Drosophila melanogaster: one gene and its partners. The protein of the gene in region 3 interacts with the protein of the main gene of each other region in a biochemical or structural test. Each region holds a gene or a part of one and is shown on either strand. Other genes may lie near its edges.

The links.
Region 1: of the proteins of tld (region 3) and sog, one has a biochemical effect on the other in vitro, tested with the Drosophila melanogaster proteins (5 studies listed by BioGRID).
Region 2: of the proteins of tld (region 3) and myo, one has a biochemical effect on the other in vitro, tested with the Drosophila melanogaster proteins (one study listed by BioGRID).

What each region holds. Positions count from the first base shown.
Region 1 is NC_004354.4:15,631,300-15,635,059, forward strand, and holds the start of sog (short gastrulation), read right to left. Parts: upstream 2,136-3,760; 5' UTR 1,510-2,135; intron 1-1,509. UniProt on the Drosophila melanogaster protein: Putative negative growth factor. Antagonist of dpp, a protein involved in patterning the dorsal region and in the development of the neuroectoderm; dpp inhibition is enhanced by tsg.
Region 2 is NC_004353.4:694,307-698,066, reverse strand, and holds the start of myo (myoglianin), read left to right. Parts: upstream 1-2,011; 5' UTR 2,012-2,370; exon of another isoform or gene 2,371-2,729; 5' UTR 2,730-2,853; intron 2,854-3,650; 5' UTR 3,651-3,677; coding exon 3,678-3,760.
Region 3 is NT_033777.3:24,747,958-24,751,717, forward strand, and holds the start of tld (tolloid), read left to right. Parts: upstream 1-1,773; 5' UTR 1,774-1,838; coding exon 1,839-2,036; intron 2,037-2,098; coding exon 2,099-2,160; intron 2,161-2,305; coding exon 2,306-2,650; intron 2,651-2,704; coding exon 2,705-3,525; intron 3,526-3,576; coding exon 3,577-3,760. Other genes in the region: tok (tolkin), read left to right, coding at 1-140, 200-523. UniProt on the Drosophila melanogaster protein: Metalloprotease which cleaves TGF-beta family ligands daw, Actbeta and myo in vitro. Cleavage of daw enhances its signaling activity. Cleaves dorsal-ventral patterning protein sog. Processes sog more efficiently than metalloprotease tld which also cleaves sog.

The DNA of each region.
Region 1 (3,760 bases), on a different chromosome or scaffold from region 3:
ATAGGTTGAAAGGAGACCAACTACTAAGTTCAAAGTTCTTAAAAAAATCTTAAAAGCATTAAATGAAATATAAGATTTCCGGGAAATTTGTGTGCGATTCGATTGAGTAATTTTCCGGAGGTTCCATCGTACGAAAGTTCACCATAGTTTGCGGCACTCAGAAAGCACCTAGATGATATTCCATTATTTATAAGCTGACTAACCCCCCATACAAACTGCCACCCTAGCAACAGAGATTCCGTGTAGCTCTTTCTCCCTTCGCCAGTCCACCCGTCCCACTCGCACTCGCACTATGTCTTTCTGTTTCTGTGCGAGAGCAGGCCAAAAATATCGCGTATACGTCATGTGTGCCGTGTGTGTGTCATGTGTGTGCGAATGTTTTGTTTGCCAGACAAAACAGCAGCACGTAAAGTGGCAGTAAAACCGCAGTTAGCCAACTGGCCAACATCGTTAAATTTTGGTCGTCTTCTTCTTGTTGTCGCGATCATCGAACGATCAAACAAACTCAAACGATCCGGCGATCGATTGTTTGATCAATTGATGGACGGAATGGGATTCGTGAGACAAGCTAAAGTTTGAACTAAGTGATGGAAGTTTTAGTTTAGCTTAATGATCGAAATAAAACACCATACAATCTTACTAACAGATTGTTGCTTAGCCATTTCAATGGTTGGTTATCATATCAGCGGCATGATAATGATGGATTTTCCGAGCGCAGTTAAACTCTTCATCACTGTCGCTAGATACTGCGAGTATCTGTCGACTTTCAAGCGATCGAGAGTACCTACACATACCTGGGCTGCGTCATCGAGTACGGTAATCTAGGTATTTACCCCCCGCCCCATTTCCTCTGTCACGCCCTCGATTTGAATCATGCTGCAAGTCGGCAACAATTGCCATTCGATTGGAATTGTAAATGGTTCGTTGTCGGTCGGTGTTGCTTTTTCTTTCTGTTGCCGGTTGCTATTGAAACGCTCTGGAAATTTCATCATTCGCCCGACCGCCCGATCGCCCGATCGCCCGATCGATCGATCGATCTATCTATCTATATATCTATGTATATATCTGTCTATCTATCCCAGCTATCCACCGATCTGCCCCCTTTGCCGTTCTGCAACTGGTCCGCATCGAATGTTCGATGTTCGATTGATTTTTCCCATTCTTTGTGATTACGTTTTTTCTTGTCTTGGTTTTTTTTTTTTTTTTTTTTTTAGGTCGCCCTTTTGGCGTCAGATTCGATCTAAACACAGTAATAATAAAAGAAATCATGCCCCATTCCTGGGTAATTGTCTCGTTTTTGGGGCGTGTGTCGCCTCGATCTCGACGATATTGGGTCGGAATCGGAATCGGAATGGAATTAGAATTGAAATTGGTCGATGACATTCCATTTCAATGCGATCATTAAAACCGAAAGTGACGGACTTATAATCCAGAGGGGCAAGAGCTTTCAGGTTGCAGGTACAGTGCGTTTCAGGATTGTATTGTTTGTTGAGACACTCTTATCATTACCTTCATCTGTTCTAGAGCTAGCATTTCGTTGCCAAGTCGCTGTGTGTTATTTAGTTATTGAAAGGGCAATAGAAGAATTCGGTTAAATAGTTATTGCTTCTCAAAACGGCCAGACTTAACATGCCGAAACGCAGTGTAGCAGTGCAATCACTATGAGTACTATTTAACGATTCACCCACGCCCATATGTGTGTGTCGATTAATGGCGATTTAAGCTGCAATTTCCACAACTAATAATCATGAGTGTAAAGTATAATTTCCGTTTCGGGCTTTCGGGCACTTTTCACGTTCCTCAATGGCAATTTAAGAGGTTCATTAAAAACCAATAACTACGACTGTAATTGCACCATTCCACAGACGCGCGCACATACATACGTTTCACAAGAAAAAAAAAATAGGGGCAACAATGAACAATGAAATAGAATATCGAGATATGGAAATATATGTTCTATATGTTCGTTTCGTTTATATGTATATGCGGACATATACATATGATTTATATGCAATACGTCGCCAAAAACGCGCGCGCAATTTTCGAAATGACTCCTGCGGGCTGGCAATCGTTATCGTTTGGATTGGTCATCGATTTCGGTGCGCGTTTCTCTAGCGTCGTTCGTTCGGTCGTCGCGATCTTTGACAAACTGAAGTTTTCAGCATATAATCATATAGACCTAGATCTAGACATAGCGGTTCGCTCTCTCACTCGATCTCCCTCTCTCTCTCTCTCTCTCTCTGGTGCCATCACTCTCCGCTCCCAATGTCGCCACCCACTCTCGCCGGCATCGCTCACCTTACCATCTCCCCCTTTCGCAAAATAGACATAGACAGCTCCAAGCGGACTCTCCTCTCCCTTCCTCTCCTTTCCTCTTCTTTCCTCTCCACGGCGGCGACAAATCGCTGTGTAGCCATGTGTATGTGTATGTGTAGCCACAGAAAGCCATTTCCAAGAGCATTACGTTAGGATCTAAGATATTACGACTTTCAGATACATTTGGTTCCGAGGGATATCTTTAGAACGCTTTTTTGGTAGCTTTATTAGAAACTAAAGGTGATTTATCATAATATCTCATCATATTCATTTTATTTGCAAACCCTTTTCAACTTTTCAGGATAAAAAAGTAATGAATAATGAATACTTTTGAGTTTTCTAATAATTAGGAACTTATTTTCACTTATAAGCTTTAAAAAACAGTTTAAAATAGTTTTATTACATAAGTAAAAAAAAATATATATTTTAAAGAAATCGCTTAATGCGTATATTTACAAAAGCTTCGTTCATGACCAATTACATTACTTCATTGTTTTTTTTTTCCCAGTGCAGCTTGGCATTTTAAAGGCTTTCGCTGTCTTCCCATGGAAGCCAAAAGCTTCTTGGCAGCCCAATCGTGCCCGGGATTGGCGGCTAGTGAGGCGTTTGGCCTCGCCCACTCGACTCGAGTACAGTGAAAACTAACCTAGGACAGCCCACAATGCCGTGGATGTGGCCAGGCGGAAGGAGCTGTATCCATTACGTTTCATGACGCTTGACGGCTAGAGATCAACACAAATATGCCGAATATTTTTGCGCCTTCGGTGCAGCGAACAAAACAACATTTGCTGACGTCACGACGGCGATGATCCATCAAAAAAAAAAAGTGCGGCGGGGCGAGGCAAACAACAACTAACTAACTGTTGGCCAAGTTATTTATTTTTGTTACTGCATTTTTGCCAACAAAGTGCTGTGGTGCTGGACGTCTAAAAATAGTCGTCACTAGCATAGCAAAGTTGTGTAGAACATTTTCACTGGCTCGATAATGTGTGTAACTATGAATACACACACTATCACAACGGTATCCAACCTTATGGACATGCCCAGTACCTCTACCATCTCTATACCCATAGTCGAGTGCTAACAATCTGGTTTCCCTTTCAATTCATATTCTGTCACGATCGAACGTCAAAGTCTCAGTCCCGACTTTTTGAATTTCTGTTTTTCTGAGTTTCTGAATTTCCAACTTACATATATATTTCGAAGCGATCGAGACTGCAACGTGATGGAAATTGGCGAGAAGCTCGAAAATGGCTGCGATTTCGATGGAAATTGGGCAATGCTCCGTTGGCACAAAAGTGCATTGAATAGAAATAAATATATTATAAATATTCATAATATATATAAAATGTGTCATAAGCTACTAATTGATTGTACTGAATATATTCAAAATCGCACTTCAAGCTTTCGAGACAAACTGGCATACTCTGTAAAAATATTATTA
Region 2 (3,760 bases), on a different chromosome or scaffold from region 3:
GTCGTCACTTTTTGGTTAAACCAATTCGAAATTAATTACGGTCAAAAGCCTTATTAAAAAACTTTCGGATCATAATTATTTCGACTAATATATGTACTACCTGCAATAATAAGAGGGCTTTTGGGAAAAATTCACACAGATGGGTTTAGTTAGTAGGGAATAATATTTACAAAATATACATACATATTTATATTACGAATGGTCGCACATGTATCCTGATTCTTTTATTAGATATTGATTGTCACACATTTTCTTCGATTTTCGGATGGGGGAAAAACAGTATGTGATTAAACACTAAAACGAACGTTCGTACAATATTGTTTATGCAATATTGTTTATATTTTCTGTGTATTTTGGTATTTTGTAGTATCGATTGGACTTCAGCACGCATCTGCTCGTATCAGGATGGCAACTCTCGGCGTGTAAAAATACAAACGGCAACTCTTAACATATATAGAAATCGATATGGCAACCCAATACCAGTGATTGCGTAGAGAATACGTTATTTTCAAAAATTCGATGCAGTAAATAAATAAATTCACAGATATAAGAATGATAATTTAGCAGACCTAAAGAATCGGTCCATTAATGAGCTATTAATAGTTCAACTAATCTACTCGTTGAAAATGTTGTGAAAAATATTTGAAAGCCAACTAAAGCGTTTCCTATTGTTAAACCATTGCAGAGCGTATAGTGATTTCTGTCAGAAAATTGCAACGTAGTGGAAATAATAGAAAAAAAATTATAAATTCTTGTTTTTGATCAGGAAGTATTTTAGTTCTGTATTTATCGGTTGAATGCGTGATCGCCATTTTCGTAATATTAGGTTTATCGCACGATTACCATCTATATGTGCGTAGATGAAGGAAAATTGACGCACTTGTTGAAATTATTTTATTTAAATCTTTATTATAACCAAAAAAAAATCGTAAATTGTTAACCACAATGGAAAAAATAAGTAGCTTACAATCCATCCAATAAATAATCTCTTATCAGTTACTTTGTTGATACATAAAAGAAGTCTTCTCCATTTGAATTGCTATTCTTAAGTAAAACAACAGAATTGCTGATACAAAGCAATAAAAATAAGTTAGTACAGTGTGAACACCTATCGTTTTCTTCCATATCGATAGGAAACTCATAAATGTATGTGTGGAAAGGCTTAAACATCTGTACGGGCGTCGATATATCGACAGCTAATCTGGAAAACACTAGACATCGCGGTAATTGTCCCTACCCTTTTTATGGAGTTCCCAGATTGCCTTCTTACACAACCATATTAATGGGCAATAATTATATAAGAAGACTGCGGAACAAAGGGGACCCGCACGAATATGTACTTGATTTAATATAAGTTTCTTTTATACACATAAAATTATTTTTGCATACTTATGTAAGTGCGTTGGGTACTTTTTATTAATTCCAGAGTAACGACATTTTTGCCGTTAATTTAAAACACGAAATGTTAGGACAAGAATGCGGAACTTCGGTTAAATTTTAAAAATTCCTTTGTATCAATATAGTCATTCCAGTAGTACAAATTAATACGCATGTAATTTTTGTTGTATAATAGCACTCAATTTTGTGTAATAAAAAAAAACAACTAGGGAACCAAAATTATAGAGACAAATCAAATCCTGCTAATAAAAATATATCTTATATAGTTTCTTCGGGTCTATTTGAAATCTTTGAAATGTAAAAATGTCTACACTCATAACTTATAAGAGTTAAAACGGCTTAAGGATTAAATTGATTTACAATAGAAAGTGATTATTAGCGACAGTGGAAATATAAATAAAATGTTTTCTAGAATTGTAAAAAAAAAAGTAGGAGTATATTCAATAAATATTTCATTTTAATATAATGCTATTTTGCTCGATAAAAATGTTAATATGAATTAAAGTTTACTCTTGCAATGCGTTTCAGCAGATACATTTTTAAAAGCGGCCTGTTATGCCAACTAAAACGAAATTGCCGGTGAGCCGTATGTATCCGATCGCATCTGATCAGCTGCTTTCAGTTCTACTTCGTCGCTCAATCGCACAGCAGTACAGAATCTCTGCGGGTTTTCAAATATTGGTTCTCTATGAGAAATAAATTATTATTATTTAGTGCGCAATTGAATACACAATTTTTTCAAACTATGTGTTTTTGGACAATGAATAATAAATTTAACAAAAGCGGATTGCAAAAGAATAATGTTCGAAACCGTAGGCCCACTGTTACTTCAATATAAAACATTTAATAATATATACTATACATATATTAAAACACACAATTGCCTAGTTTCAAAATAGATTTTGGTTGTACAAGTGTATAAAAATAAAATAAATACCGATAGATAAGTATATATCTACTTATGTACAATTGGTAGGTGTTTAAAAAGTTTGTTATCGCTAAATGTACATAACTTTGTACATACACAGCTTTAAAAATGTACATATGTGCTTATATGCATGCTATTTATTCTGTATGTATGTATAATTTACGTATGTACATACATATGATATATCTCATTTACGTTGTTCTGCTTGTAAAAGGGGAATAATGCACTTTCAGCGATGAACTGAAGTTCAAGAGCACAATAATTTATTATGTTTATAAATGGTTTTAATTGAATACAATAGTGGTCATAAAGAGGACTCATGTGAAACGTTTATGAACGGGCTTTGCATATGTGCATGTACATATGTAGCTTGAACTAACTTTTACGACTGTGTGCACATTAGGGTGGTCATTTTCTGCTGGCGCATCGCGCTTCCAAGGCGGATCAAACAATGCAGATATGATTTTTAATTTTTAAAAATCATTATATCCGGTGCTGCAGGATTTTATACTTCTACTATATTCAAAGTAAGTTTTTTCGTAGCCTGAAACAAGTTTTTGAAGGTTATTATTCCGTTATTCCGAGTTTTAGAATATTCACGAGCACACAAATCAAGTGACGATCGCAGCCTCACCGTGCCGATTTGTGACGAAAAATGGTTTTACAATTGTCAGTGTTTTTTCCTAAGCTTTATAGCCATAGAGCCATTTTTCCCTATGGCAGGTATATAAGTGTATGGTCGTCTGATTTTGATCGATTAAAAACCTAAATTATATATTTTCAAAAAAATGTGCATACTGAAGAAGAACTCTTTTTATTTGAAAACAACGAGTCTATAATTTTTTTCAACAGTTAGCTATATGATATGATCGTCAAAAGTCTATCAATTTAAAACCGAAATATTATATTGTCCAAATTTTGCCAATAATTTTAATATTTTTGAAGTTAGAGATCGTCAGTGGCGTAAGCTATTCAATTTTTTTTTTTTTTTTTTTTTGTATTGACTCGCGAAGGGGAATCATTGACTTCCGTGCTAATGCTTTAATAGGGTTTAAAGGGGTGCGCTCTTCTTTTTTCTCTGCACAGCTGTTTAAGGTATTACCTTGGGAATCCGACTTAATCGAATACAGCAGGGGATTATCTAACAGCTTGTATTTCGCGATTTGATTTTTAAAAAAATTGTAAAATAAGGCCAACAAGAGCCAAGTTGATTGGATGACAAGATCACCAGCCGCTGTCTCCAAAAATAAATAATAATTATTATTTTTATTTTTTCTTATTTTAAAATATATCAAGTATATTTATAAATACAAGTCCTTTTCAGCATTCATCAACGGTTTGATCAAAAATCATGCTGGCCAACTCATGCTGCGGTTGGAGAAAATATAAAACCCATGATCAGCATCATAGAACCCTAAAGAAAAAAACTCGACA
Region 3 (3,760 bases):
GCTACGTCCAGCTCATATTCCTCACCTTCGACATCGAGAGCAGCGAGAACTGCACCTTTGACTACGTGCAGGTGTTCTCTGACATAGACGATGTGTACGGACAGTATGGACCCATGTACGGACAGTACTGTGGCAATGTGGTGGGTACACCTATTTCGTTTATCCGGAGAACATTTAAGCTAAGCATTATTTACTGCAGCTGCCGCAGGACATCAACTCTATGACACATTCTCTGCTGGTTCGCTTTAAGACCGACGGTTCGGTGCCGATGAAGGGCTTCTCTGCCTCATATGTGGCCGTGCCCAATTCCGGGGAGTATGACCACTCCGACGAGGATGTGGAGAACTCGTACAGCTCCGAGATGGTTACCCCGTTTCCGGGCTCACTGAAGAGCATCTACATCGAGGACACGCAGGAGGAGACCGACGAGTACAGCGACTTCAGCGGCAATCAACTGGTCTTCAATGGGCAGTATCGTGGCCGATATAGTCTGCCCAAACGGTACTACTCCGGAAAGGCATAGGGCTATGGTGGAACCACTGACCGTGCGCCAAAATACATGACAATATATTAAAACGGAATTTATTTAACAGATTTAGGCATATCGTCGCGTACATAAAACAGACTTTCCCGATCTTCCACGCGCACTCTTCTGGCCAAATCCAGGATATAATCAAAGATCCAATACTAGTTTTAGGCACTCGAAACACACATTGTTAGGTTCCAGTCGGCTAAGATCTGCGGTGGCAATTACTTAGACCCCTATGTCATACATGTAATGTACTTTGACTAGACTTCTCTAGACTCTGTAGCTAAATGTGCAATTCCTCTTCCCCCCTTGCATTTGACTGCTTTTTTCTCTGACGCATTTTCATTTTTTTCGGATATCTATATTCTATATTGTGCCATATTTAATGGTAATGATGGAGTGCATTTCCTTAGGCATCTTAGCATAAGTCAATGGGTGGCCCATATCAAAATCAGAACGGAAGTTAGGATAGAAAAGAGATACACACATATCTTCGGAAGCACCGAAAGTGGAGGATCCTTACAGATGGATTGAATTTTTCACACAGGCATATGTACAACTCTCGGATATTTGACTCAACTTAATACGTAATTATATCTATACATATTAAAACTTGCATAGTAACTATGTTTTAAAACCAAAACAAAACGAGTTTGAAGAATGTTATTTACGGACTTTCGGGTTTATGGGCTCATGGATTTATGGCCCTAGGTTCCACCTTGCCACGCCAGGCAGAAGCGCCATGGCTCTTGAATAGCATTTGAAGGTGGAATTACCGCGAAACGATTCGTTCATGCGGCGGATTTACGATCATTAATGACCTGCCCTAAAAGGCACGAACCCGCTTAAGCAACACCTGATCCTGGGCAAATGCCCCTGAGCCCGGCCAGCGACCCAGGTAGATGGCCACATACGCGTACACGTATAGATGGACAATGTCAAGGTGTGAGCAGGAATACCCAAATCAAAATCCATTGAATGCAAACAACAGGCGGCAGACAATGGTCATCCCGAATCGCCAATGAGGAGGGGTAGCACTCAGGTCTGGTTATGGCTCTCGTCTCTCCTTCTATTGAGCCGTCCCTTCGAGCGGTCAGTCGAGATTCTGCAACGGCCTGCCCTGCCACGCCCCTCGTCCACCGATTCCCCTACGAGTTGGGATCTGTTACCTGCTGCTCACTCACTCGATCCGTGGAACCCTTGTCGGCGCACCAGTATAATTCGGCAATCGCAGTCCACGAGCACTCAGTTAGAACTTTGAACTGGTTGAAGCAACTTCAGGGAACGAGCCCCCAGAAATACCCACGCAATGAAAGGAATGCGCCTTATGCCCATGAAAATGAAAGCGAAATTAGTTGTTCTCTCTGTGGGAGCTCTCTGGATGATGATGTTTTTTCTGGTGGATTACGCCGAGGGCAGGCGACTGAGTCAGCTGCCCGAGAGTGAGTGCGATTTTGATTTCAAGGAGCAGCCAGAGGACTTCTTTGGCATTCTGGATTCTTCACTGGTGAGTGGTGGAGTCACGTGGCCCGACCTAAAATTACAATCTTCAGCATTACCCAACAACAGGTGCCGCCGAAGGAGCCAAAGGATGATATCTATCAACTCAAGACAACCAGACAACATTCGGGGTAAGTTCCACTGGGATTTATACCGCACACAATGGTGCGCAATTAGCCCACACACTTGCCTTGGCCACTGGAGTGCTTGCCTTTGGGCACGTAAGTAATACCTGAGCTCATAAGCCCTCCCTGCCCATCTCAACCACCCACACAGGAGACGCCGGAAGCAGTCGCATAAATCGCAGAACAAAGCCGCTCTGAGATTACCCCCACCATTTCTGTGGACCGATGACGCTGTTGATGTCCTGCAGCATAGTCACTCACCCACTTTAAATGGGCAACCAATCCAGAGAAGGCGAAGAGCTGTGACCGTGAGGAAGGAGCGAACTTGGGACTATGGGGTCATACCCTACGAGATCGATACCATCTTCAGTGGAGCCCACAAGGCGCTCTTCAAGCAGGCCATGCGCCACTGGGAGAACTTCACCTGCATCAAGTTTGTGGAGCGGGATCCCAATTTGCATGCAAACTATATATACTTTACAGTCAAGAATTGCGGGTAAGTCTAATATTCGTTCTATGGAGAATTTATAATTTATATCCCATCGAATAGTTGCTGTTCGTTTCTGGGTAAGAATGGGAATGGACGCCAGCCCATCTCCATTGGACGTAATTGCGAAAAGTTTGGCATTATTATCCATGAACTGGGTCACACAATCGGGTTTCACCATGAACACGCCCGTGGTGACAGAGATAAACACATCGTGATTAACAAGGGGAACATCATGAGGGGTCAGGAGTACAACTTTGATGTACTCTCGCCGGAGGAGGTGGACTTGCCTCTACTGCCCTACGATCTTAACTCCATTATGCACTATGCGAAGAACTCGTTCTCGAAGAGTCCCTACCTGGATACCATCACACCGATAGGGATTCCACCCGGAACCCATTTGGAGTTGGGTCAGCGGAAGCGTCTTAGTCGCGGCGACATTGTTCAAGCCAATTTGCTTTATAAGTGCGCCTCCTGTGGACGAACATATCAGCAGAATTCTGGACATATAGTGAGTCCACACTTTATATACTCCGGCAATGGAGTACTCAGCGAATTCGAGGGCAGTGGTGATGCTGGGGAAGATCCGTCCGCGGAATCTGAGTTCGATGCCTCGCTGACCAACTGCGAGTGGCGGATCACGGCCACCAATGGGGAAAAGGTCATCCTGCATCTGCAGCAGCTGCATCTGATGAGCTCCGACGATTGTACTCAGGATTACCTGGAGATTAGGGATGGTTACTGGCACAAATCGCCACTGGTGAGACGAATCTGCGGAAATGTCAGCGGAGAGGTCATCACCACCCAGACAAGTCGCATGCTTCTCAACTATGTCAACAGGAATGCAGCCAAAGGTTACCGTGGATTCAAGGCGAGATTCGAGGGTAAGTTTTAAACTTTTCAAAGAAAAACACAAACTAATTTTTCCATTCCAGTGGTATGTGGTGGGGACTTAAAGCTGACCAAAGATCAGTCCATAGACTCTCCCAACTATCCTATGGACTACATGCCGGACAAAGAGTGCGTGTGGCGGATCACGGCTCCGGATAACCACCAGGTGGCCCTGAAGTTCCAGAGCTTTGAGCTGGAGAAGCACGACGGGTGTGCCTACGACTTTGT